Callithrix jacchus: one gene and its partners. The protein of the gene in region 2 interacts with the protein of the main gene of each other region in a biochemical or structural test. Links are inferred from orthologs where the notes say so. Each region holds a gene or a part of one and is shown on either strand. Other genes may lie near its edges.

Region 1 (2,859 bases), on a different chromosome or scaffold from region 2:
GGGCCAGATCTACTGTGTCACCTCTTTTTGCAAGGCTCTGGAGCTCAAAATGTTTTTTGCATTTTTATTTTTAAAATATTGATTGCTTAGGACAGAGTCTCAGTCTCTCACCCGTGTGGCGCGCAGTGGCATGAACACAGCTCACTGCAGCTTCAAATTCCTGAGCTCAAGGGATCCTCCCATCCCAACCTCCTGAGTAGCTGGGACTGCAGGCATGCTCCACCATGCCTGGCTAATTTTTTTTTTTTTTTTTTTGTAGAGATGGGGGTCTTGCTACGTTGCCCAGGCTGGACCTGAACTCTGGAGCTCAAGGGATCCTCCTTCCCTGACCTCCCAGAGTGCTGGGATTCCAGGCATGAGCCACCGCACCTGGCTGGTTTTTGCATCTTTAAAGGATTGGAAAAACAAATCAGAAGATACGTTTTGGGATATGTGAGCATTATATGAAATTCAAATTTCTGGGCCATCGTTTTCACGGCCACGCCCACACGTTTACATATTGTCTGTGGCTGCCTTCACTCCACAAGACAAGGGCAGGCTTGAGCCGTTGTGACACGAACTACCTGACCCACAGAGGAGAACGTATTTACAATCTGGGCTTTTACAGACAGAGTCTGCTGACCCCTGACGGACACCCCAGAGCCTTCCAGAATATTAATTTCAGGGAACGGTGTTCCAAGCAGAGGGAGTGTGGAGAACTCGCTAACGTCGACTGGGCACCTGCTTGAGTTACTGTACTCCTCATGACAGCTGCCATGACCCCCTGTTGCAGAGAGGGAAACTGAGGCTCAGGCGATTTGTGTGTCCTCAGGTGCACAGCTAGTAGGTGGTTAAGTATGGTCTGAATTCGGCTCTGTGACCCCAAAGCCTCAATATGCACCCTCCACCTTTCTTCAGCACCCCCAGCCCAGTCTGTCCACTCACCTCCAAACTCTCCCTCTCCGATCTGTGCTCCCAACGTCAAATGCTGCAGGTTCAGCAACCAGCCCGCTGTGGAGTGAAGACCCAGTCAGGGCGGTACTAGGCCCCCCAAACCCTCCCACTGGGGGTTCTACTTGGTGAGACTAGGTGATGTCTCACAGTGCTGCAGCTGTGGAGACACATGTGACTGGCTGCTGGGCCTGGCAATGCCCCTGGGACATGTCAGAGACACCCCACTCCTGGTACCAATTATTGTTGTTGGAAGCAACAGATATCTCAGGCTGACCTGAGCAAAAAGGAGCTTGTAGGAGGGACAGTGGGGTGAATGGTCAAAGCTGGGGGCCTGGCTGAAGACCCTCAGACTCCACACTTGCCCTCCAGGAACTCCCTGTCAGGCCCAGGGGGCAGTGCCAGGAAACGTTTCACGTCTCAGAGATAAGAGCTGCCCTTTTCTCTTTGGCTACCTGGAGACCTCTTGTCCCTCCAAATGCCCTCTGGGCTCTTCCCTACATAGTCCTTTACCTCTGACCACCGAAACACACACAGGGCAAAAGAATAAATAAAATTAAAACCCATAAAGGTTCCAGAATATTCCAGGGGTCTGGCCTCCCTGACCCTTCTCCCAAGCACTCCTGTGTTGGCCCCTCCACTGTCCTCTGGTTGGTTCTGCAGGCTTCCCCCTCCCTCCAGAAAGCGCCCCCTCCAAATGCGGAACTCCTAAGGGATCATTGGTCAGGGTGATGCTAGTCTCCACCTGGGTGCCATCCCCGATGGGTACAGACTTCCCCAGGAGAGATGTACTTCAAAGAGACAGACATGGGGTGGGAAGAGGCATTTGCTTTTGAGCTTAAATATTGAGGATTTCACTACTCAGGGGCTGGAAAAGCACTTCAGGCGAAGTGAATGGAATCAACAATGGCTCAGAGGCATGAAGGAAACGATGATCACAGTTGACTTGGGCGGGGTGGATGCGTGGAGGAAGGGCTTTGCAGATGAGGCTGGAAGGGTGGCTCGGGCCATGGGGGCAGGTTCTGGAACGTAGTAGAGCTGCGGGCCTCTCTCCCCAGAGGCAGGATCTCATGATAGAAAGATAACCTTGGGGCTGCACTCAGGGCCTGGCCTGGAAGGGGCACTTGCCCCCTGGGAAGGAGGTCCTGTGATGAGAGGGACTGAGGCTGGGCTGTGGGGAGGGGAGGGGAGCAGATGCACCAGGTGTTAGGAACCAGGCCAAAGAGGGAATGCTGGGGCGGGGAGGTGGGTGGGTGGGGCTTCGGGGCCAGGTTTCTGGCTCAGATGATATGGCGGATGATGGTGACAGAGATGAGCAGCAGAAGGTGGGGCCCAGTGAGTAAAGGACTGATCGGCGTCTGTGGACCCCAAGGCAGCCCAGGTCTTCTATCCCATAGCTGTGCATGGGGACAGGCTTGGGTGATCTGGCCTTAGAGGCCCAGGGCCCCAGGGTCCTTCCTCCTGGGCTGCGCTAATGTGGGCAGGGGAGGAGGTGGGCCCTCTCGAGCGTCCCCTACCCCTGGCCAGCTCCTCCTCTGCCGACTTGGTCCCGTGCTTCCGCTTTGGCCTCACCAGCTTGGTGCAGATAGCGCCCTTGTCCTTGGTGTAATGCTGCAGGATACGGGGGTGGTGGTGAGCCCCGCCCCAGGACAGGGAACCCCGGCATCTCGTCCCTTTCTCTGCTGGGCTCTGGGTGGGGTGGGCGGGACCAGGGAGGAGAAGAGAGGCTGGTTTCCATTGGAATGGGAGAAGGGGCAGGCCAAAAGGAGCGGAGGTCCTCTGGATTGCTGTCAATTTGGGGGGTCCTGGGGGTCCCCAAAGATGTCATCCCAGTCCCTGGGGGCAGACTCAGGTCTGGGGGGCCCAGGGAATACCCCCTTCATCTCCATATTGGAGAAGCACAGAGCTCAGGGGATCCCAGGTGGTCAG
Region 2 (3,946 bases):
GGGCTTATTCTTGCCAGTTTCTCCAGCTGTAAAACATTAGAGTAATAGTACTACCTCCTGGGCTCATTGAGACTACTAGAAATAGCAGGTAAAGCCCCAAGCACCGGGCCTGGTACATCGTTTCCAACTGAAGAGCAACAACTATGTATCACACATGTCATACGGAATTTAAGATGCGTTAGAAAGTATGTTGTAAATGCACAGCATACGGGATTTACAGAGTCACGAGAAGAAAATAGGGGGATGAGTGGGGGGAAAAACAATAGGGATAAATGAATTGTCTGGGATCTCTTTATAAGACCATTTTATTATTTCCAGCAGGATAATTTAGAGTGCCTTGTGTCCAGCTGCTGAGAATGACTCCAGCCTCACACCTGCAGGAACGAGGCGAGAAGGTATGATTCACTATTCCTTGCAGGTTCATCCTGTTAGGCACAGGAGCTGTAATACTGTTGTAGGGGGGAAGGGGAGGAGAAGAATGAGGGTTAGGACAAAGTGGGTACCTCCTAGCCCTCAAAGAGCAATGCAGAGGAATATATGGGAATTGAGGGGCGGGCAGCATAAGCCACAGCTCCAGTCAGATGCAACCATACACTATGAGGTCCCTGTGAGCAGGAGAGGCAGAGGAATTTCAAAGAGGCAGGCAGAGACCAGGGAAATAGTTGAAAAGACTGCTGAGTCTACACTTAGAACATTGGAGGATAATTCTAGACGCAAAGGATACTTCAGGATGCAGATGCCCCCTTGTACTCTGGAGGACACTGGATTCCCCGGAATGTAAGCACCCTGCCCAAGGACACGCAGCCAAGGAATGGCAGAGAAAAGGAGAATCCCGGGGAGAGAGCAAGGCTTGGTCGTTATACCACACTGCCCCCCAGGAGGCAGACCTTCAAATTTCCTTTGCCAAAAATCTACTGGGAAGAAGGAAACCATTGATTCATTTAATTTTTTAAAAGGCAGATATTCAATGTGGGCTGTCTTTCTAGTCTCCTAGTAGGGTCTAGTTCACATACCTTAACTGATATTAAAAAGGCCAAGGCACAAAAACAAAGACCAGATGAGTCTTTTTAAGACAGGTAATCAAATCCTCCAGGGAATCCGAAGACTCCCGCGTGACCCCTGCTGACCCCTCCTGCTGCGCAGGGGTCCAGATGCAAGGCCTCTCTACCCCCACAGGAAAGCCCTCACAATGGTTACAAGACGAGGACCCGGGAGGCTGCGCCTGGAAGCTTTCTAGAGAAACTGACCGATAGTCGACAGTCTCACAACCCTTCATTGCGCCGCTTCCTTTCAAGCACTTGATTCCAGCTCAGACTCACTTTCTATCCTTACATCATCAGGGTAACCTTAAAGGTTTGTTTTTTAAAATGACCTGGAAGAGAACAGGGCTTCAGGGGTTAGCTTCAGTGAGCGACCTGCACTCGCGCGCACCAGCGACACCGAGAAAACAAGTGAACCGGAGGCAGGAATCTGACCGAGCGGCTCCAGCAGCCTGGAAGTCCTACACCTAAGACCCAAGTTCCCACGCGAATATACCTAGATTTTTGTTACAGCTTTAAGAACTAAGATTTGCAAAAAGTTCCACTCCATCTCCCTCTCCATCCCCAGGCAGCCCCGAAGTCTCGACGCCCCGGGAGTGGAGAGACGGGCGGTTACGAACCTCAAAAATGTCCTAAGAAAATAAGGACCTGCGAATACAGTTCGCAGGCAGCCGGACTAGGGGCTTCCAGAGCCCGCCAGGCAGGCCAGGCACTGGGCCAGCGGGCTAGGCGGCCAGGGTCAGAAACCGCAGAGTATCAGCACGCTGTCCGCTGCCTTAGAGGAGCAGGCGGCAAACGCAGCCTCCAGCAGCCCCGGGGCGCTTGGCAGGAATGAAACGGCGCCACGGCAGAAAGAGGCGAGCACGCGATGTAGGAAAGCAAAAAGTCTGCAACCTAGCGGCTGCTTTCCACACGCCCTACCCAAGTTGTCCCCGTCGCCACTACCGCCAGGTTCACGGGGGTCCAGCCCCACACTCGCACGCCGCACGCTTCCCGTGCAAAACCCTAACCAGGAGGCGGGGAAACGCTGCAGCCTTCGATTCGTCTCCACGGGTGGCGCCGCGAGCAGAGGCAGCAGCGGGTCGGTCCCCAGCTCTGGGCACAAAGAGCGCCTGCGGTTGGAAGGCAGCAGCCGCAGAGGAGAGAAAGGGCTCTTTAACTTTGCCCTCCGCGTGGCGGAGAACCTGTGGGCAGGTCATCCTGGGCACCGGTTACACACACGCAACTTTTAACAAAAGGAATCTGCGGCCGCGCCTCGCACGGAGAGATAAGGCGCTCGGTGCGAACCCCTGAGCCGCCCGCCTCCGCCCCCAGCGCACCATCGGCACAAAAGCTACCCCAAACTCACATGCAGCCTGCAGCCTCGCTCACGCCTAACCCCCTTGCTGTCCCCACTCCCGAAAGAACCCCGGCTTCGCGCCCCCCACCACCAGCAGCTGAGGTCTCCTCGCACAGGTGAGCAAGGCAGGCCTCTGGAGAGTCCGAGGGCCGCCTGGAGTCTCCCCGGAGGCTGGAACGCAAGGGTATTGAGGGCCCGCAGCTCCCCCTCCGGACGCACCCTGGCGTGTACCACCCTCCCAGGCACAGGTTTCGCCGAGGAGTCGCACGGCCGGGGTGCCCGCCGCGGTGTCCCACCTGTCTGGACGCGGAGCAGGAGGAGCAGAACGCAGAGAAAATCCCAGGCGCCACGAGCGCCTCTCATCGCGGTGGCTACTCTGGGATCCGAGCTCTGGTCCACGTTCCAGCTCTAGCCCAAGTGCAGCGAGCGCGGCAAAGCCGAGCCCCCAGAGCCGCGAGCGCCGAGCGCAGCCCCTCCTCCCAGCGCCCTCCCACTGCGCGCCGGCCACGCCCCTCCTCGCCTCGCCTCCCTCGCGCCCGCCCGGGTCTCGCTCCTTCCCGGCGGCGTCTGGCCCCTGCTCTTTCGACGTGCTAATGCCGGGGGGGCTGTGCCCGCCCTTGCCGCTGGCTCTTGACCCCGGAGCCCCTTTCTCTCTCCACCTCTCCAACCCCGGGATGTGGTCTGCCCGTCCGAGGCCGTTCCCGAACCAGGGAGGTGCTGCCCGCTGGCTTTGTGAAGCTGGGCACCACGCGCACGTTAGGGCACGGGCCCGCCACCTGCCAGGTGCTCTCCAGACAATAAAGGTCGGCTCCCCGCCCCTCCGGCGCGTTCGAGCGAGAGTAGGCTGGACGCCGCTGGTGGTGGAGGTACGGGGATGGGGAGGGGAGCGGTAGGAAATTGAGCCCCGACATTACCCTCCAGGCCTGTTAGGAGCGCCTGGCACCGCGGTAAAGGCTGAGCCTGGCTTAGCTAATTGTTTCTGCTCAGTTTCTCCACCTGCTTTGTAACATGTAAGGACACAGTGAGTTCCTATTGGTCGGCTTGGCCTACGCCCAAGAAGCCCGTACCCGGACTTTTGTGGAGACTGGGGCGAGGGAGTGGGGAGGGGCGCGCTGCGAAGTTTGCTCTGGGAGCCCAGGTTTTCTTACACATTTCTCCCCCCACCCCAATGCTGCCAACCCCTGTAATGATTTCTCTGCCTCTGTATCAGACGACGGTTTCAGGGCTAGGGATCCCTGTGTTCCTCTTAACTGCTCTTGCCGGTCCCAGGAGTAAGATAAAAGTACAACGATTCTTTTAAGCCAGATTTCACTGCCCAGAAAGTGCTCTACCCACGGTCTCATGGTGGATCCTTGAACGGAAAGCAGCAACAGTGTAGGGGTTACTAGTTCTTCTCCACACCGACTCTTCTTTCATGCTCAGGATAACAGCTTTGTGAGGGGTATAGAGCAGGTATGTTTCTTATTGTAGCGAAGGAAAAACCCTTGTTTGAAGACCTACTCCAAGAAAGATGAGCTTCCCCTAAGCATTTTGATAAACTAATAAGACATCCCTCCTGAGAGCTTAA
Region 3 (3,500 bases), on a different chromosome or scaffold from region 2:
GAGGCTTCCGCAGGGTCTGGGCTGAGGCTGCCAAGAGAAGGAGTTAGGGAGTGAGAGGGTGGCTGGAACCTGGAGGGCGAACAAGGAGGTCTGGGGCAGCTGGGAAGGGCAGAGTGAGGCTGCAACCACCCCATCCACCCAGGGAAGGCAGTGGAGCCAAGGACACAGGGCAGGACAGGGAGGACAGCCAGGCAGAAGAGTTGTAGCACCGCCACCTGAGCACAGCGCCCGCTCACTTCCTCTTGAGGGAACCCTTGCTCTTCTCCTTGTCTGCTGACCGCTGCTTCTTCACTTTCTCCTCCCGCTTGTTCTTACTGTGCAGGTTCTCATACACATCCTCCTTGTGTCTGCAGCAGGGTGCAGGGGGCAAACACAGGCCGGAGGCACAGGTCAGGAGACAGCACGGGGGACCCAGCAGTGGCAACCCTCTCTGGCTGCCCCATCTCACAGGTGGCCCAGCCACTGTCCCTGCACTAAACTCCAAGTTCTTTGAGGTTAGAGGCAACATCTCATACACAAGTGCACTGCTGCTACCTAGCACAGGCCCACACGTGGCGGCGGTGGGGGGGCACTCTGGAAATGCTTATTAACAGAAGGCGTGAGAACCAAGCTTGAACTTGAAGCAACACTTGTCCTCTCCAGAAATCAAGGATCGGGCTGGTCAGGACAAAGGGGTGGATGCCGGGAGGTGGCAGTCAGGGCCACTCACTTGGATGAGGTGCGGGAGGCCTTGGCATGGGCGTTCTTCATGGCTGGGGGGTAGGTGATGTTCCCATACTCCGACTCCTGGCCCTTCTGCGACTGTGGGCAGAGGGATAGCAGGAGGGTGGTGGTCCCAGCAGGGCCAGGTGGCACCCATCCCCCGCTGCAGCCCCCTAGGCCCTGCTCTGCACGCACCTGCAGGACCTCCAGCTTCTTCTTGGTGGTTTCAATGTACTGGGCAATGGCCACGTAGATGAACTTGTACTGCGCCTCCGTCTGCACCATGCCCGAGCGCTGCGCCCGCACCATCTGGATAGTCTTCTGGATGTCAATGTCACAGTCCAGGCCTGGGTGGGGGCAGTCAAACCTCAGGCCTAGGCACAGGTAGACACCAAGGGGTTGCTCACCCCGCCCCCAAGCCCCCAGGTGCCCCTCACCCTTGGTGGAGATGTTCTCCATGAGCATGTCGATGACAATGATGGTACCTGTGCGGCCAATGCCCGCGCTGAGGAGAGACGGGGATGCCGTCAGAGGCCAGTCAAGCCCTTCCTGGGAAGGGGGGTTGACCAGTGCTCAGCTCCACCCCCAGGCACTGCAGGAGCAGCCTGAGCCTCCAGTAATAGAAGGGAATGTACCCAGCATCATTGGGCAAGTGACAATGACAATTTGCCCGACTCTGCATGGGAGCACTCCACTTCTGGCTCTGTGGTGCTGATGCCAGCTTCCCAGATGCCACCATCCTTCCCTACTCCACTCCCTGCACCGAATCCTCACTCCTGGAGAGCAGCTGTCCCCACCCCGAAAGACATGGGACCCCCAAATCCCACTACTGTCCTGCTGGTTCCTAGGCACCCTGAACCCTTCCCACCTCTCCAAGAGTTAGGGAGCTCCAGCTGGGTGCAGTGGCTCACACCTGTAATCCCAGCACTTTGGGAGGCTGAGGCAGATAGATCAAGAGGTCAGGAGTTCAAATACCAGCCTGACCAACATGGTGAAACCCCCGTCTCTCCTGAAAATACAAAACTTAGCTGGGCGTAGTGGCGTGCACCTGTAATCCCAGCTACTCAGGAGGCTGAGGCAGGAGAATCACTTGAACCTGGGAGGCAGAGGTTGCAGTGAGCTGAGATCACGCCACTGCACTCCAGCCTGGGCAACAAGAGTGAGACTGTCTCAAAAAAAAAAAAAATTCATGGAGCTTCTCTCTGCAGAGGTTTATTTCCCTTTTTCTTCAAACCCTGACAGCTGGGAAAGGACAGCCCAGAGACAACAGGGTTCAGGGGTGCCGGGTCAGGGACTCGGGGGAGCAGTGCAATAGGAAGTTTCTCTCCTTCCCACCCCTGGGCAAGCAGACCCTAGGGAGACCCCAGGCCCACCCTCAGCTGGGCCCATCAGGCTGGTGCCCTGAGTCGCACTGTCTAATTTCAAACACAGATTGTCAAAAATAACCCCCCTTCACCCACTTCCTTCCTGTAACGTCTAAATAAAGGCCATGGGGCTTTCAAGAAGTGTGTGACTATACGTGCGGTGGGTGAGCAGGAGGGTGGCTCTCAGGGATAGACCTGTCCCTGAGAGAGCAGAGGACAGAGCTGCGGCCCCAAGACAGCCCATCGGGGCACCTCTAGATTCAGCCAACTGGCCCTGTCCCATGGACAAACAGCTGCTGGGGGGAAGAGGAGGAGGCCAGAGGCCATCAAAGACCTGGGGTCCACAGAGGGAGTGTGAAGGGACCGGGCAAGGCAGGTCCCTGTTTCCCCCATTCTCTGTCTGGCATGAGTACTAAACCAGTAACTGCCAGTGTTTGAGGGCTGATGGAATTCCAGCCACAGCAATAGGGTCTCACGACAACCCTGAGATCCTGGTTTTACAGATGAGGAAGCTGAGGGTCAGAAAAGTTAAGCAATTTGTCCAAGATCACACAGCTGGTGAGCAGAGGGGCCCTCCACCCGCTGCCTCTCTTCCATTTAGGCCAGGCCGGCATGGTGGGCTCTTCAGTGGGACCCCTGCTCCTCGCAGCCCCACCTCTGCACCCTACAGGGGTCTCCTGATCACAAACACGAGGGTAGATAGAGGAGCTATGTGTACCCCCCAGAAAGGCATCGCCCATCCCCATACAACCCTGGGGGCCAGGATGGGGAACTGCCAGGGAAAGGGGGAGAGACGGCGGAGTCAGGAAGAAGCCTAAACCCTGGGGCTACAGATGGAAAAAGAGGAGGAATGGGGAGCACAGGCACGATGGATATTCCTGGGAGGCCAGAAGAAACCAGCAGAGTGGGACCTTGAGAGACAGCAGGGCAGCCGGGACTCAGGCCTACTGTGGGTGCCAGCCCGGCCTCGCCCTGACTAGCTGGGGCCTGGCCAGCAGCTGAGTCCTGGGTTCCTCCTCTGTATTTGGGTTGGGCGAGATGGTACATCTGGGGAAGGCTCTGAGGAAGACACCCACAGGCAGGGGGCCAAAGTGGGACCAGGTCCAGCCATGTTCCACCCCAGGCTCTGGAGCCATGAGGGAACCCAGAAGAAGCCGGGGGTGAGCGGAAGGCAATAGACGTGTGCACTAACATGTATGTTGCTTATAACAGCTCATGGCGCTTAGCAATATTTACTCCTCAGCAGTCACTGCTACCATGAGGACTCTCATTCTCACCTGCAGTGCACGATGATGGGGCCTGCGCGAGGCAGACTTTCCTGCCGCTGGTTGATCTGGTCCAGGAAGCTGAGGACGCCCCCGGGCTCACTGGGGACCCCATGGTCAGGCCAGCTCAGGTACTGGTAGTGCCAGATCTCCCGAACCAGGTCCCCCT
Region 4 (4,220 bases), on a different chromosome or scaffold from region 2:
TCAGCTCCACGCAAGCAGAGATATTTGTGTTGTTCACTGCTGTGTTCCCAGAACCTAGAACAGTGCTTGGTGCGTAGTAGTTATTTCATACCTGTGTGCGGAAAGCAGATTTTTGTAGCCCTTGTCTTCAAGATCATTGGACACCAGGAATCCTACAGCAGGCCAGCTCCCTTCCCCCATCTACTTGGAGCCTGGAAATCCCCACCTTCTGGGGAACCCCTTCCTGTAGCTCGAAGGCCAGGACTCCCGGCTTTAACAGAGTGCTTCCTGGAGCCAAGTCTCGAGCTAACTGCTTTAATGCATTAACTCACTTAATTCTCACTGCCAGGAGAGTGGGTACACGTTATTTCCATTTCATAGGCAAGGAAGTGGAAGTACGGAGAAGTCAAGTCATTTGCCCGGGTAGGAAGAGGGGGAGGCAGTGGAATGGAGACACTTGCTGCCCGGGAAGGCTTGAGGTGGCTCCTCCAAGCTGGGGGCGTGGGCGACTAGTTTCCTGTTGGGGGAGGGGGAGAAGGGTAGACATTCCTCCCTCCCGCCCTCCCACATGTTGGGGGAGAGGCTGACTGAGAGCATGCCCCACTCCGGACTAGGGGGAACCCCACTCTCCGTCTCTGTTCCTCATGAGGCCGTGGGGAAAATCAGTAGCCTGGAGGCTGGTAGGGGGGTGGGCGCAGAGGCCACGGGAGCCAGCGGTCGGACAGGGCTTCCTGGAGAAAGATGCACCGCTCCTAGAGTTGGGGGACAGGACGGGTGGCCGGAGGGAGGCTGGTTTATACTAGCACCGGCTGTAGCAAAGGCAAAGCTGAGGGTTGGGGGCAGAACCCAAATTGGGGGCCTGGGGCCGTGGCGGATCGGCTCAGCACGATCGCAGATAGTCAGGGCGGGGCGGGGCAGGGCTGGGTTGTCTCCCTCGGGCGATGATGAAAGCCTGGGTCGCTATTGCACTACCCAGCCCTGCGGGCGCTGATAAGACCCTGCAGGAGGGAGTCAGACGAGCCCCTTGGAGGCCAGACCTCTCGACCCTGCCCTCCCTAGGCCCCGCCTCTTCATCTGGCCCCGCCTCCAGGCGCCGAGGCACCGGGTGGCCGGCTGGCTTTGAGTGGGTGAGGCTAAATTCGTCCCGCCCCTTCGATCCTCCCTTCTTTAGGCTGTGAGACACAAAATCGAGTGGGCACGTGGTGGGCGTGACTTCGCAAGGCCCTGCCTCTTGCCTGGCCCCGGGTGGCAGAGGCCTCAGACCCGGTCCTCAGCAGACTAGCGGGATTGGTTGGCGGGACCAGCCCAGGCTCCGCCCTCATGTCCCGCCCCACCAGCTGAGTCTCCGGCTCTTGGGCTGCCAGGGGCGTGACTTCTGGTGGCCCTGCCCCTTCCCCGCCCCTGTCGCTGCCGCCCTCCTCCGCCAGGCTCAGCTTGCACTGTCGATACCTCTTTACATAACGGCGCAGGGCGGCATGGGTCTGGGCCACCGCCTCCGCCCGGCTGCCCGCCCGGACTGTCGCGGCCCGCGGTGGCGACGGCGGCGGCTGCAAAGTTTCCCAGGCGGCGGCGGCCCGGGGGAGCATCCTCCCGCAACTGTCAAGCGCTGGCGGCGGAAATGATGAGGCGCTGGCCATTTTCCGAGCTCGGGTTTCCTGCCTGAGCCCGGCTCCATCGAGCCGCGAGCGAGAAGCCGGCGCGCGGGAGAGGACGCTCCGGGGGCGGGGGCCCACCCGCCCCCTCGGGATTTCGGGGGCCCGGGGACGCGCGACGCCATGGGCCGGCCGGGCCCGGAGCCCCTGTCTCTCAGGTGAGTCCGCCTTTGCCGGCGCTGTCCTCCTCCAGGGCCGGCAGGGCTTTCGTGGGGGAAGGGAAGGCCCCGTGTCCAGTTCTGCCCGGACTCTGCGCGTCACCCCCTGCCCAAAATACTGCCCTGCGGCTCAGATGGAGGCGTTCGGGGGTGACGGCTCCCAGCACCTGCGACCCCCCCCCAGCTACCACCACCACCACGCACACACGTGTTGGGGAGAGCGTTGGGGTAGCTGAGGCCGTGGGAGCGGGGAGAGGGTATCGCTGACGCCCCCAGCCCACGCCCCTCAACTTGTGCTTGGGGAGGAGCGGTCATTGCTACCTTGAAAGTGAAAGTAGTCAAACTGAGGCTATAAACACAGATGAGCCCTTGGGTGTGGAGGCAGCGGGAGAGGATGCGCCGGCCCCTCCCCACCCCCATTCCGGGCCATGTGGCTAAGAGGGTAGCGCCCTGATTCAGGAAGCCCCTCTCCCCACTCCCTGCACTGCCGAGGTGGGCCGGGCCAGGCCCCCGTATGCTGCTGAATTGGGCGGTTCACCAGGGCTAGGGGTCCCAGAGACAGGTCTCTGGGACTGATCTTCTCACACGTCCCACCTGGGGTTCCCTGGGAATACCCCGACCGAAAAACGTCAGAAGGGGGTGTTGGTCTTCTAGATCCTGACGATTGGAAGGGTATTTCAGAGGCTTCTGATGCCTGGTGCAGAAATCCTCTCCCCTCCCTGCCTCCTTCCCTCCCTCCAGGGAAGCTTTGTTTTGAGGGAGGGGACTGCATTTGAGGAACCGGAGAGGGGGGTCTGCCTGCTTGTCCCGCTTTATTTTCTTTAGTTTCCTCGTTTTCCTGTTTCTCTTCCCCATTCCCAACCACAATTGCTGTAGGTGAGGAGGTCACTCTCTGCAGCTGGGGGCCTCCAGGGAGGAGTACGGCCAGGCTGGGCTGAGTGGGAGGAAATGAAATCCGGTGGGGTATTCGGAGCAGAGTCCTGGGCAAAGCGGTGTGGGCAGGGCCAGCTTTCGTGGCAGGAGGGCTGAGATCTGACCCACAGCCCCTCGCTGGGGAGATGACAGTTCCCTCACGCCAGCCAGCAGCTAGGCATCAGGGCCCCTGCCAGGGCAGTGGGCGTGTGGGTCTCCAGGGATGCAGGCACACGTTGTGTCTGGGTTTCCCATCACTGACCTGGCCACTCTGGAGGCTCCTCTGGACCTGCCTTCGTGGAGGGAAAGCTGACAGAGGCCACCTGGGCAGGCTGGGCTTGGGGGATGAGAGCCTGGGCCCACTGAGGGAAGTTGGAAGGGTTTTTAGGGCACTTTTCCTGAGCTTGTTCCCACAACCCCACTCTGGGAGGGAAAATCCTTCTGAGCCAAAGGGTGAACATTCTTAGAACTTTCGCGAGTCCCTATGGGCCACAGAGCGGACAGCTGGGAAGGGGCTGACCCGAAGCATCAGCAGCTGGGGGGCTCGGCCTTCAGGGGCTCAGCAGGAAGCGGAGTAGGATAGTGACGAGGGTCCTGGAGACTACACTTCGCTGCTCCCACAGCCTCCATTCAGCTGAAGGCGTGGGCAAGTGACTTGTGAACCTCAGTTTCCCCCTGCATAAAACAGGGTAATAACAGGTTTGCAGTGGAGATTTAATGAGCCAGTGTGTAATGAGCACCTGCTGCCTGGCAAAGAGAAGCGATTCAGTTGCAGGTGGTGGTGGTGCTTTTATCATGGCCTTAGTGAGTGTTATTGTTATTGGCTGTGAGCTGTTCCTTCTGCAGTCCCCCTTGAGCATCTGTTGCACACATACCACTGGAGTGTCCAGGGTGTTTGGGAGCAGAATTTTGAAAATCTGGGCACTTTCTTAGCCAGGAGGCCTTGCTGAACTGCCCCACCTCAGTTTCCTCATCTGTGAAGTGGCTGTGCTAATAGCACCTACTTCTTAGGGTCATGGGAACCATGAATGAGTGAATTCAGAGTCTAGAATGGCTTGGTCAGGAGGAAGAGAAGTAGCCTTGGGGCTGGGATGATATTTTTTGTTGTGGATGTTAGCTCTGCTGGCTTTCCTTCCTCCTCCCCCTCACCCCCATGCCTCTCAAACCTGGGCCTGATGCTCCTCCTCTGATAAAGAGAACTTTTGAGTACAAATCAGATCCTGTAGGACAGCTAAGTCGGATTTCTGGCTCCCGCTGTGCCAGCCCCGGCTATTCTCTATATCCTGGGTGGAGCAGAGCTGGAGGCACTTGGAGGGACCTCCTAGCCACCAGTCCCAGTGCCACCTGTTTCAGGTGAGGAGAAACCAGGTGCCCTCCCCAGCCAGGGTGGGGAGAGTCATTGAAGGGGTCTCGGGGACATAGTAGGGAGCTGTCCCTCAGTCTGGGCCAATACAGCTCCTTTCGCTGAAAACACCTTTGGGGCCCAGTTTACATGACCACATACCCTTCTGAGGGATGA
Region 5 (4,025 bases), on a different chromosome or scaffold from region 2:
ACAAAGGAGAAAAGAAGTCAGGTGAAATAGATCATGCCTGTGGTCCCAGCACTTTGGGAGGCTGAGGCAGGCAGATCACTTGAGGCCCAGGAGCTCCAGACCAACCTGGCCAACATAATGCACAGGGCCTGGCCATCTCTACTAAAAATACAAAAAATTAGCTGGGCCATGGTGGCACATGCCTGTAATCCCAGCTACTTGGGAGGCTTGAACCCGGGAAGCAGAGGTTGCAGTGAGCCGAGATTGTGCCACTACACTCCAGCCTGGGTGACACTGTGAGACCCTGTCTCAAAGAAAGAAAGAAAAAAAAAAAAACGAGCCAAAGATTGGGAAAAAATAGTTGCAAATCATATAGAACCATATATGGTTGTATATATTTTGGTTGGCAATCAAAATATATAAAGAACTTCTACAAATCAATAATAGACAAACAATCCTAATAAAAATGGGCAAAATACTTGAATAGATGTTTCTTCAAATAATATGTATATGAATGGCTAATAACTACATGAAAAGATACACAACATAGTCATTAGATAAATGAGAATTAAAACCACAATGATATACCATGACATGCCCACTAGGATGCTTATAACCAAAGAGAAAGAAACAAGTATTGGTGAGGATATAGAGAGACAAATCCTCATATATTGCTGGTGGGGATGTAAAATGGTGCTGCCACTTTGAAAAACAGTCTGGCTGTTTCTCTTTTTGGTTTTTGTTTTTTGTTTTTTTGAGATAGTCTTGCTTTGTTGCCCAGGCTGGAGTGCAGTGGCTTGATCTTGGCTCACTGCAACCTCCAACTCTGGGGTTCAAGCAATTCTCCTGTCTCAGCCTCCTGAGTAGCTGGGACTACAGGCGCCCACTACCACACCTGGCTAATTTTTGTTTTTTGTTTTTGAGATGGATTCTTGCTCTGTCTCTGGAGTGAGGTGGCAAAATCTCAGCTCACTGCAACCTCTGCCTCCCGGATTCAAGGGATTCTCCTGTCTTCGCTTCCCAAGTAGCCAGGATTACAGGCATGTACCACCACACCCAGCTAATTTTGTATTTTTAGTAGAAACAGAGTTTCTCCATGTTAGTCATGGCTGGTCTCGAACTCCCGACCTCAGGTGATCTGCCTATCTTGGCCTTCCAAAGTGCTGGGATTATGGGGTGAGCCACCATGCCCGGCCCCTAATTTTTGTATTTTTAGTGGAGACGGGATTTCACCATATTGGTCAGGCTGGTATCGAACTCCTGACCTCAGGTGATTTGCCCACCTCAGCCTCCCAAAGTGCTGGGATTACAGGCATGACCCACCGTGCCCCACCCTGGCCATTTCTTAAAAAGCTAAACATTAGCCTGAGAAAATGGCAAAACCTTGTCTCTACAAAAAATACAAAAAAACTAGGGGGACATGGTGGTGCATGTCTGTAGTCTCAGCTATTCAGGAGGCTGAGGCAAGAGGATAGCTTGAGTTCAGCAGGTCGAGGCTGCAGTGAGCTGTGTTTGCACTGCTGCATTCTAGCCTGGGCAACGGAGAGAGAGTCTGTCTCAAAAAAAAAAAAAAAAAGTTAATCATAAACTTACCACACAATCCAGCAGTTCTACCCTTAGGAATCAACCCAAGAGAAATGAAAACACGTATCTATACAAAGACACCTAGATAAACATTCATAGCAGATTATTCAAAATAGACAAAAACTGGAATCCTAAATATCCATCAACTAGTGAATTAAGCTGGGCGCGGTGGCTCACGTCTGTAATCCCAGCACTTTGGGAGGCCGAGGAGGGTGGATTACGAGGTCAAGAGATCAAGACCATCCTGGTCAACATGGTGAAACCCCGTCTCTACTAAAAATACAAAAAATTAGCTGGGCATGGTGGCACGTGCCTGTAATCCCAGCTACTCAGGAGGCTGAGGCAGGAGAATTGCCTGAACCCAGGAGGTGGAGGTTGTGGTGAGCCGAGATTGCACCATTGCACTCCAGCCTGGGCAACAAGAGTGAAACTCCGTCTAAAAAAAAAAAAAAAAACTAGTGAATTAAGAAACAAAATGTGGTGTAACCACACAGTGGAATACTACTCAGCAATAAAAAAGAACAAACTACTCTAGATCCTACAGCATGAATGCATCTCAAAAATCATACTGAGTGAAAGAAGCCAGAAGCTAAAGACTACATAGTGTATTATTATAGTGTATATGAAACATCCAGAAAAAGCAAAGTTAGAGACAGAAAGCAGATCAGTGGTTGCATAGGACTGGAACTGGGAGATAGATCGACCAGAAACAGGCAGAAGGAACCTTATCAGGTTGACAGAAACGTTCTGTAATTGGAATGTAGTCATGGTTAGGCAATTGTACAAATCACTGAATTCCTTCCTTCCTTCCTTCCTTCCTTCCTCCCTCCCTCCCTCCCTCCCTCCCTCCTTCCCTCCCTCCCTCTCTCTCTTTCTCTCTCTCTTTCTCTCTCTCTCTCTCTTTCTCTCTTTCTCTCTTTCTCTCTTTCTTTCTTTCTCAGCCAGACCGGTGGCTCACATCTGTAATCCTATAACTTTGGGAAGTCTAGGCGGGTGGATCACTTGAGGTCAGGAGTTTGAGACCAGCTTGGCAAATAATGTAAAACCCCCATCTCTACTAAAAATACAAAAAAAAATTAGCTGGGCATGGTGATGGGCACCTGTAATCCCAGCTGCTCAGGGGACTGAGGCAGGAGAATCATTTGAACCTGGGAGGCAGAGGTGTTGTAAGCAGAGATCCAGCAACTGCACTCCAGCCTGGGTATCAGAGCAAGACTCCATCAGTCTCTGTGTGAGGCATCTCAGCAGAACACATCTGCAAGGATGGATAATTTTCTTCAGGCTCACAAATCACAGGCGTGGGTGAAGATTCTCCACAGTCGGATGCTTCAGAGCAAGGCAGGCTTTGCGAACAAACTGAATTCATACTCATTATTATTGTGGAAGAGGAGGAAAAATTTAAGACCTGGACTGGAAAAAAGGCCAAGGCAGCCTTAAGACTTTTAAATCACGGAGTTTTCTTTCTTTCCTTCTTTTTTTTTTAAGACACAGTCTCACTCTGTCACCCAGGCTGGAGTGCACTGGCTCACTGCAACCTCTGCCTGCTGGGTTCAAGTGATTCTCCTGCCTCAGCCTCCCGAATAGCTGGGATTATAGGCATGCGCCACTATGACCAACTAATTTTTCTATTTTTAGTACAGACAGGGTTTTGCTATGTTGGCCAGGCTGGTCTGGAACTCCTAACCTCAAGTGATCCTCCCACCTTGTCCTCCCAAAATGCTGGGATTACAGGCATGAGCCACCATGCCTGGCCTGGTTTAAAAAAATTTTTTTTAATTTTTTTTAAATTTAAAATTAAATTTTTAAATTTAACCTCAGCCTCCCAAAGTGCTGGGATTACTCACAACTGTAATCCCAGCACTTTGGGAGGCCCAGGCGGGTGGATCACCTGAGATCAGGAGTTCAAGACCAACCTGGCTAATATGATGAAACCCCCATCTCCATTAAAACACAAAAATTAGCTGGGCATGGTGGCTGGCGCCTGTAATCTCAGCTACTCAGGAGGCTGAGGCAGGAGAATCGCCTAAACCCGGGAGGCAGAGGTTGCAGTGAGCCGAGATCGTGCATGCACTCCAGCCTGGGTGACAGAGCAAGACTCTGTCTCAAAAAAAAAAAAAAAAATCGAGTAGTCTAAAGGGACACTAGAGTGGGTGGTGTGACACCAGAATACCATAGCTGTACTGCAGGCAGGGAAAAGGCAGCGAGGACTTGCGTAGCCTCCATTTCCGGAGCTGCAAAATGAGAATAATGACACTAGCCCCGAAGTGAGAGGCTGGGATGAGAAGGGGATGTGCAGTAACTGATGGGGGCACAGATCTTGAAGAGCATCTACGGTTCTCCAGTGCAGGAAGAGGCAGTTGTGAGACTGGAAAAAGCAGTTTCGAGCATTGGGGTCAGAAACACTTGTTTATATAACTACAGGGCGGTTTCAAATGCCATCATCGCCAGGCTTAGTGGCTCAC
Region 6 (4,178 bases), on a different chromosome or scaffold from region 2:
ATCTGCCTCTAACTCAGGATAGTGACCTTCCAGGAAATTCACTGTTCTTCTTCAGATTTTAAATCCCTTAATCTCAATTCTAGACAATGGATTTACTTCCTTGTCATTTGTCAAGCAAGATCTCTCCACCCTAGCAGTTAACAACTAAAAGTGCCCAAGTAGGCCTAAATCCATGTAAAGTTACATTTCAAAGATTTCAAAGAATCTCCTCTCTGAATACCTTCAACTTGCAGAAAGACAGTAAACTCTGAGAATAGCCTCTATTCCTCACAGATAGGTGCATTTAAAGACATCCTGAAAGGAAAAGACATCTTTAAGGGCCCATGAGGGCAATGTCTAGATGATAGGACTTTGAAGCACACTAAAAACTGACTAAACATCCCTCCATTCCCAAGCCACAACCATGAGGCCTAGAAAGTAAAAAAGGAGTGTGGTAAAGGGACACAGAAAACCAGAACTAGAGAAGGTAAGTGGAAAGAATACAGAAAGGATCAAAGGAAAGAAAAGGAACATATGTAAGAAATAAGGTAGACCATAATCTATTGGTAATATGTTGAGAACAATCTTTATCAGTTTTAGCAAATGAGATAGCGAAATGGAGAGTCAGTCAACGGGCACCCAAAACTAGTTTTGCCTACGTTGCACACAAGGGCACAAGTGCATCTATCCAAAGCACGGTATTTTATTTGAAGATCAAGCCAAAGAACTTCAAGTTTTGCTAGGTTTTTACTTTTACTTTTTATTTATTTATTTTTCGAATCAGAGTTTTGCCCTGTCACCCAGGATGGAGTGTAGTGGCGTGTTCTCAGCTCAATGAAACCTCAACCTCCCGACTTCAAGCGATTCTCCTGCCTGAGCCTCCCTAGTAACTGGGACTACCACCATCACACCCTACTAATTTTTGTGTTTTTAGTAGAGACGGGGTTTAACCATGTTGGCCAGGCTGGTGTGGAATTCCTGACCTCACGAGATCCACCCGCCTCTGCCTCCCAAAGTGCTGGGATTACAGACATGAGACACTGTGCCCAGCCAAGTTTTGCTGGGTTTAACACTATTGTTTGCCACAATTCTATCAGGTGCTAAGGCGTACATTATACAAATTTAAATAGTTCGAACATTACAAGGAGTTCATTGTAATCACTTACACCCAAATTCAACATGTAAAACTCCCAAGTCCGAAACCATCACCTCCTCCTTGTTAGTTTCCGGATAAAGTGTTATTTATTCTATCAAGAGTAATTTAAACGAGTAACTTCTAGGGAAACAAGAAGGGGATGTTTACATCAAACTATCCACAATGCAGGAAGAGGCAGTCTGGTCACTTATCAGATTCCTCCTCCACGATATCAAAAGAACATGGAGAAGTTTTCCTTCTTGGCCAGTGAAGTCATGGTTCTCTTATCTATCTGATGATACCTACTAAACACGAGCCTGCAACCGCAGCCCCCACTGCACAAAGGCAATCAGTGCCCACTGCCGAGGTCTTCCCAGGCAGAGCAACCTCAACAGCTCCACCGCGGAGGAGAGTCCTCCGGGGGGCCCTCTGCTAGCCCCCAGTGACTAAGCAGTAGCCTCCACCTCCCGCCGCTGCCTGGCCACTTCTCCTCCCCCGCAATCTCTGCTTGAATTTTCAAGTGACTGCAGGGAAGAATAGGCCAGCCTTTGTGCCTCTGCAAAAAATGCAGGCAAAAATGTCCACCATCCCACCTGACACACGCGCAACTCCACAAGACACAAAGCGTCTCCCAAACATCGCTTCCCTAGGAACATCCGGCAACCCGGGACTGCCAAATCGCCGACAAAGGCGCCCATCAGTGCGGGGGGTGAGGGGATTATTAAGGGAGAGACGAGCCCAAAATGCTCCCACCCACGGGAGCGGCGGTTAAAAGGCACGCACGCCAGGGGTGGGGAGCGGGGGATCGGTACCAATTAGTGGCTCGCCTCGGGTCCCCCACTTCTAAGGCGAGAAGGCAGGGCCAGGAGCAATGCTGCCCACTCGCTACCGCACCCCGCACATCCCGGCACCGCGTAAGGAAAGATGGGGCCTCCGGGCGCGGCCTTGGCAGCAGAGAGCAACAGGCTCCCGCGCCCCGGAAGCCTGGTCTGCGCTCCGGGTCCACAAGCTACCCCGCCCCCGACACCAAGACTGTGCCCCTCCGGGTCAAGGAAGAAGGAAAACTTTTAAAGCTCGTAGAGTCAGCGAAAGCAAAAGGACGGAAAGAGGGTGGCTGAAAGGTTTAGGATTATCCATCGCGGGGCTTGGGGGGGTGGAGACTTGAGAGTAGCAAAGGAAACTTCTAGACCCCATCCTTTTAAAAAGCCGGCGCAGCGGCTTCCGCTAAGCGCTGGGCCGCGCGGGGTGGGGCGAGCGCACCCGCCCCCGCCGGCCGCCCCCACCCCCACCCCCTCGCGCCGAGCCCCGGGCGCCCGCGCACCTTCCCCGCCGGCGCGCGCGCACGGCGCGGGGGCGCGCTTGGGCCTCCGGGCCGGGGCTCACGCGCCGCTTACCCAGCTTGCGGCGGCCGCCCCGGGCAGGGACACGAAAGGGTCGAAGGACTGGAGAGCTGGGGTCGCCGGGGCCTCGGGATGCCCCGCCTCGCCCACGCTTGCTCTCTTCTCTTCTGAAGTAACGGGCCGGCGAGGAGCTTCGGAATCAACGCGCACAGACACTCACGCGTGACTGAGAAACTTAATCCCGTCTGGCCGCCCGCGGCCCGACGCCAGCCTCGCGCTCCGCCGCGCCCCCTCCCCCAGCGCGCGCCGCACTTGCGCCGACCGGGGCTGCCGCGGAGGCAGTGGCGGGGCCCAGGCTGCCGGGTCTGCGGTGACGCCTGCGACCGGCGGGGCGGCGGGCGCGCCTCGGCCAATCAGGGGGCGCGGCCGAGCGGGCCGGTGCTGGGTTTTAAATTCGCCACTGGGCCTCTCAGCCTCTGGGGTATGGGTAGTGGACTTGTGAGGTGGTCAGATAAAATACAGGCTGCCCTGTTGAATGGGAATTTCAAATAAAAAAAGAAGCATTTTAGTACAAGTATATCCCATGCAATATTTGGGACATACTTACACCAAAAAGTTCTTCGTTGTTTATCGGAAATTCAAATGTAATGACACTAATATTTTTGTGTGCCGATTTTGTCTACCTGCGGAAGCTGATACCCTGTTTCTAGTTCCTCAAATTTTCTTTATGTACACTCCCCTGTGGATGCCTTCTGCATGGGTAGCTTACCAAGTGGCATAGGATGCTGGTGAGAAGCGCTTTAATCAGAAAGGAGGGGGCTGTCTTCTCACTTTGTAAGTGACTTTTCACACATCAGGGTGCATTCTTAGTCTGATGATCCAATTAAAAAGCAAAAACAGTAAACATGGAAAGGTGATTGGAGTTGCATGGTGCTGGGAAGAACAGATATTCATTTCTATTTGTGCCACTTAAGATTGTCTGTTATCCTCAATTTGGAAGTCCCAGGAATCTTTTTCTGCATAAGAAACCCTTTTTTAATACATCCCTCTAATATTAGAGTATAGGACCAAAGGATACTCAGAAGTCCAATTTAGAACATTTAAAAGAATTTTTTTAATATTCGGTATAAAAATATTCTTTTCTCATATTCCTTGGCCTTTCAAACACATTCGCAGCTATTGACCTCTCTCTTCCTAGAGCCCTCCGCACCCCACTCCTCCTGTAATTCCCTGCAATCACACCTTGGTTTTGCTCCTTCCTCTTGGTCAAGGGCCCATGCATGGGCTCTGAAGCTTGTGCAACTGGGGGCTCTGCTTCAACAACAAATATATATATATATTTTTTTTAATATTCGAAAAATATATGCCCATGTAAACACTTTGCTAAGGTTCCTCCCAGGCAAGAGAAGGACCCAGAATGTTAAGTTGCATGAGTTTCCAGGTAGATCTGCCTCTGTCAGCAGACCACTCTTCACTCTTATTTGCCTCCTGTCCCCCAACTTTTAGATGCTGGACTTCCTTAAGAATCAGTTAGGGGCCCTCTTTTCCTTTTAACTCTTACTTCTAAATACATTTTCACTTCTAGCTTATCATCTACTAGCTAAGGAATCTTAAATTTATACCTTCAGATTTATCTATATATTCAAGTGTTTATTTGACTTTCCTGTTTACTTGTCTCAAACCTAGATTGCAAAAAAAATGCAACCATGATACTTCTGCTCAAG
Region 7 (3,500 bases), about 3.6 Mb from region 2:
ATTCTAGACAATGTAAATCACCATTAATGTTTATTGCTGTGATGGACTTCCTGAACACATTGTTAGAAATTGGTTTGTGGCCAGGTGCTGTGGCTCATGTCTGGAATCCCAGCACTTTGGGAGGCCAAGGCAGTCAGATCAGCTGAGGTCAGGAGTTCGAGACCAGCCTGGCCAACATAGTGAGACTCCGTCTCTACTAAAAATACAAAAATTAGCTGGGTATGGTGGTGTGTGCCTGTAATCCTAGCTACTTGGGAGGCTGAGGCAGAAGAATCTCTTGACCCCAGGAGGCAGAGGTTGCAGTGAGCCAAGATCGTGCCACTGCACTCCAGCCTGGGCAACAGAGTGAGACTCTGTCTCAAAAAAAAAAAAAAAAAAGAGAGAGAGAGAAAGAGGAAATTAGTTTGTACCAGGAGGCAGGAGGTCCAGGAGAAGATGGAATTTCTAAATTCAGGCAGCCTACTGGTAAAAGTATCCATTCCTTTGTATTGACAAATAGTAATTTATTGTATGCATTTTGTTTATTGTTCATCAGTTGATGGACATTTGGATTGTTTCCACATTTGGTCTCTTATGAATAATGCTTCTGTGAACAGTTGTGTACAAGTTTTTGCATGGAAATATGTTTTCATTTCTCTTGGGTATTTACCTAGTTATCAGCACACTGCATCATATGGCAACTCTGTTTAACATTTGAGGAACTAAGTTCATATCAATTTATTCCCAAAGAACCTTTTCATATCTCATTTTGTTGTTTTCTTTTTGGGGGTTTTTGCTCCCTAATTTTTTTTCTGTGTTCTTGTATAAGTTTTATTCTTCACTGTCATCTCAGTTCATTCAACAAACATGTATCAAGTGCCTACTGCATGTCAGAAACAGAGCCAGGTTTTGGGGAGATTGTGGTGGACTAGGGGTAGTCACTGATCCTGACTTTTCCAGACCCTAACACTTGGGGGGAGACAGAGAAGTATGTAACAATTTTAAATTTCTCTGAAATATCCTGTAGTAGAGGTAATACAGAGTGCTATAGGTGTTTATGGAAGAGGCACCTCCTATTTCTTACTTAGTGCTGTAGGCAACTTGGGTTAAAAGGTCCACACTGATTCCCAGTAGTTAGTATTCCCAGTTGTTGGTATCTTAGAGCCCAATCTTTATGCTAAGATCCTGAATACTGAGTCACATCACGTGAATAACTTTCATTTTTAGCAGACTGATATAATTCACTTTCATAGCTCAGCTCTCATATTGGAAAAGAACATGAAATAACTTTTAGAAACCTTTTAACATCCTTTAAAATATTTGAGAAAAGACAAAACTAGCATGGTGCCTGATGAACACTGTAGGATTTAAAAGAAAATGTTTGTTGAATGAATAAAAGCATATAGCATGGTAGTGTATGTACACACAGAGGATGAGCAGAAAATGAGTAAATGATGAATTTTATCAGTGAGTTTCCTTAGCATTTTACCAAGCAGAATGATTATGAGTGAGTTTGACTGCAATGCTCTCTTTGATTACTAGGACTTGCCACCCGGCTTCGGTACCCAGTTAGTGTGAAGGGGAAGAATGCACCCACCACTGCAGGATTCAGCTATGGTAACTCTTATTTTGCAGTTGCATGAACTAATTTTCCTTGAAAAGAATCCATTGTCATGAGATAAATTTGGATGTGCACTATTTCATGTACTAGAACTGTTTTTTTTTATAAGTTTATAGCATGGGTTTTTAGATAATTATATTTAAGACCATAGCAACTTAGGTATTCTATTTTCATCATTATTCATAATTCCGTAGAAAGCTTTCTGTCAGTGAAAAATAAGCATTATCATGTGAGCATCTAAAATAAATCAAAGCCCTTCTTGGTTCTCACCAGCTTTATTGGTTACAAGAACGTGAATAAGAATGGAGGCAAGAGAGAAAGCTTCCAATTTAATTGTCTTAGTTGCTTCTGGCAAAAGCCTTTAAAACAGCAGATTAGATTATTTCCAGCTTGATGGAATTGAAAAAGAAAAAAAAATGAGAAGGAAGAGTGGTAAAGAAGGAAGTGTTTGTTTGACAAAAGTACCTTTAACTTTCAGGCTATATTATTATTAGCCTGGTATGCAGAGTTGTCTTGCCTTCATTTCACGTTGGTTAGAAGGCATACATCCTCTCCACCTTTTGGAGTTCAGATGCAGGTTTTAAGTCTGTTCTGTGTTTTATCAGGAATTATTACAGTGTTATCCTGTAATTTTTAGGTTGATCTTGGTTATAGGTTCTTTTTTCCCCTCTCTGATTCATGCTATGTTTTCCTTTTTAAATATGAACGCTTTCCCCTTCTGTCCTGCAGAGAAATGGGAGATTAACCCTTCAGAACTGACCTTTATGAGAGAATTGGGAAGTGGACTGTTTGGAGTGGTGAGGCTTGGCAAATGGCGAGCCCAGTACAAAGTCGCAATCAAAGCTATTCGGGAAGGTGCAATGTGCGAGGAGGACTTTATAGAAGAAGCTAAAGTGATGATGTAAGTTGCTGTCATCTTTCTGGCTCACCTTTTCATATTAAAAAGTGGCCCCTCACCAAAAACTTGGTAGTTTCTTTTCCTGTAGTAACTTTATATATATGTATGTCTTCCTTCCCAGGAAACTGACACACCCGAAGTTAGTGCAGCTTTATGGTGTATGCACTCAGCAGAAACCAATATACATTGTTACTGAGTTCATGGAAAGGGGCTGCCTTCTGAATTTCCTCCGACAGAGACAAGGTCATTTCAGTAGAGACGTGCTGCTGAGCATGTGTCAGGATGTGTGTGAAGGGATGGAGTATCTGGAGAGAAACAGCTTCATCCACAGAGATCTGGTAACCCCCTAGCCACCCATATTCCCATTCATTGGCTGAATTCCTTTGCAACATGGGGTCAGCAAATGTGCAATGATGTATTAATACCCAAGTTTTGTTCTTAATGTTTCACCATTATTTTTAAAGTTGGTAAATTTAACTTGCCCAGTAATTTTAAAGGAAAGATCTTCATTAAATCTAATGATTTGCCTAGTTAACATCTCCATGCAAGTTTCCAGGTTTTAATTTTTTGATCTCCATAAGAATCCCATGAGACAGCTACTCACAGTGGATTCTCTTACCATCGCTGTTGTATAGATGGGAAAATTAGCTTCAGGGAAGTGAAAAGGCTTGTCTACTGTGATAAATAGGGAAGCTGGGGTTGGCCTTGATTTTCTAACTAGATCCCAAGTTATTTTCCACCTCACGCACTATAAACAGAAACTATAAGAGAAGTCCTTTGGATTTTTAAAAAATCTCTTAAATCACAGAGAAAACATGGAGACTCATTTTAACTTCCCAAAATACCAGAAAAAGAAATTTGTTACTGGTTCTAAATTACTATGTTGGGGACAGTTTTTTCCTTCTCAACTGTTTTCACTCTCTCCTCCATTCTTCTTTTCCTTCTGTTTTTTTTTTTTTTTTTTTTTTAACCTGGTCTTTACAACTGTGTCTGTTTTCAGCA

The links.
Region 1: the proteins of KIT (region 2) and MATK form a complex in vitro, tested with the Homo sapiens proteins (2 studies listed by BioGRID). The link is inferred for Callithrix jacchus from reciprocal best matches to the Homo sapiens genes KIT and MATK.
Region 3: the proteins of KIT (region 2) and PTPN6 form a complex in vitro, tested with the Homo sapiens proteins (2 studies listed by BioGRID). The link is inferred for Callithrix jacchus from reciprocal best matches to the Homo sapiens genes KIT and PTPN6.
Region 4: the proteins of KIT (region 2) and SH2B3 form a complex in vitro, tested with the Homo sapiens proteins (2 studies listed by BioGRID and IntAct, with this or other methods). The link is inferred for Callithrix jacchus from reciprocal best matches to the Homo sapiens genes KIT and SH2B3.
Region 5: the proteins of KIT (region 2) and GRB7 form a complex in vitro, tested with the Homo sapiens proteins (3 studies listed by BioGRID and IntAct, with this or other methods). The link is inferred for Callithrix jacchus from reciprocal best matches to the Homo sapiens genes KIT and GRB7.
Region 6: the proteins of KIT (region 2) and MPDZ form a complex in vitro, tested with the Homo sapiens proteins (2 studies listed by BioGRID and IntAct, with this or other methods). The link is inferred for Callithrix jacchus from reciprocal best matches to the Homo sapiens genes KIT and MPDZ.
Region 7: the proteins of KIT (region 2) and TEC form a complex in vitro, tested with the Homo sapiens proteins (2 studies listed by BioGRID and IntAct, with this or other methods). The link is inferred for Callithrix jacchus from reciprocal best matches to the Homo sapiens genes KIT and TEC.

What each region holds. Positions count from the first base shown.
Region 1 is NC_133523.1:3,553,209-3,556,067, forward strand, and holds part of MATK (megakaryocyte-associated tyrosine-protein kinase), read right to left. Parts: intron 2,542-2,859; coding exon 2,448-2,541; intron 991-2,447; coding exon 925-990; intron 1-924.
Region 2 is NC_133504.1:142,097,158-142,101,103, forward strand, and holds the start of KIT (mast/stem cell growth factor receptor Kit), read right to left. Parts: upstream 2,801-3,946; 5' UTR 2,743-2,800; coding exon of another isoform or gene 2,676-2,742; intron 1,874-2,675; exon of another isoform or gene 1,661-1,873; intron 1-1,660. UniProt on the Homo sapiens protein: Tyrosine-protein kinase that acts as a cell-surface receptor for the cytokine KITLG/SCF and plays an essential role in the regulation of cell survival and proliferation, hematopoiesis, stem cell maintenance, gametogenesis, mast cell development, migration and function, and in melanogenesis.
Region 3 is NC_133510.1:21,225,675-21,229,174, reverse strand, and holds part of PTPN6 (tyrosine-protein phosphatase non-receptor type 6), read right to left. Parts: intron 3,499-3,500; coding exon 3,344-3,498; intron 1,208-3,343; coding exon 1,140-1,207; intron 1,050-1,139; coding exon 898-1,049; intron 802-897; coding exon 710-801; intron 348-709; coding exon 237-347; coding exon of another isoform or gene 233-236; exon of another isoform or gene 216-232; intron 28-215; coding exon 1-27. UniProt on the Homo sapiens protein: Tyrosine phosphatase enzyme that plays important roles in controlling immune signaling pathways and fundamental physiological processes such as hematopoiesis.
Region 4 is NC_133510.1:114,273,812-114,278,031, forward strand, and holds the start of SH2B3 (SH2B adapter protein 3), read left to right. Parts: upstream 1-1,420; 5' UTR 1,421-1,789; intron 1,790-4,220. UniProt on the Homo sapiens protein: Links T-cell receptor activation signal to phospholipase C-gamma-1, GRB2 and phosphatidylinositol 3-kinase.
Region 5 is NC_133506.1:120,193,756-120,197,780, reverse strand, and holds the start of GRB7 (growth factor receptor-bound protein 7), read right to left. Parts: upstream 2,801-4,025; 5' UTR 2,712-2,800; intron 1-2,711. UniProt on the Homo sapiens protein: Adapter protein that interacts with the cytoplasmic domain of numerous receptor kinases and modulates down-stream signaling. Promotes activation of down-stream protein kinases, including STAT3, AKT1, MAPK1 and/or MAPK3. Promotes activation of HRAS.
Region 6 is NC_133502.1:119,814,887-119,819,064, forward strand, and holds the start of MPDZ (multiple PDZ domain protein), read right to left. Parts: upstream 2,801-4,178; 5' UTR 2,675-2,800; exon of another isoform or gene 2,509-2,674; intron 2,078-2,508; exon of another isoform or gene 1,708-2,077; intron 1-1,707. UniProt on the Homo sapiens protein: Member of the NMDAR signaling complex that may play a role in control of AMPAR potentiation and synaptic plasticity in excitatory synapses. Promotes clustering of HT2RC at the cell surface.
Region 7 is NC_133504.1:145,700,415-145,703,914, forward strand, and holds part of TEC (tyrosine-protein kinase Tec), read left to right. Parts: intron 1-1,521; coding exon 1,522-1,596; intron 1,597-2,329; coding exon 2,330-2,501; intron 2,502-2,619; coding exon 2,620-2,836; intron 2,837-3,500.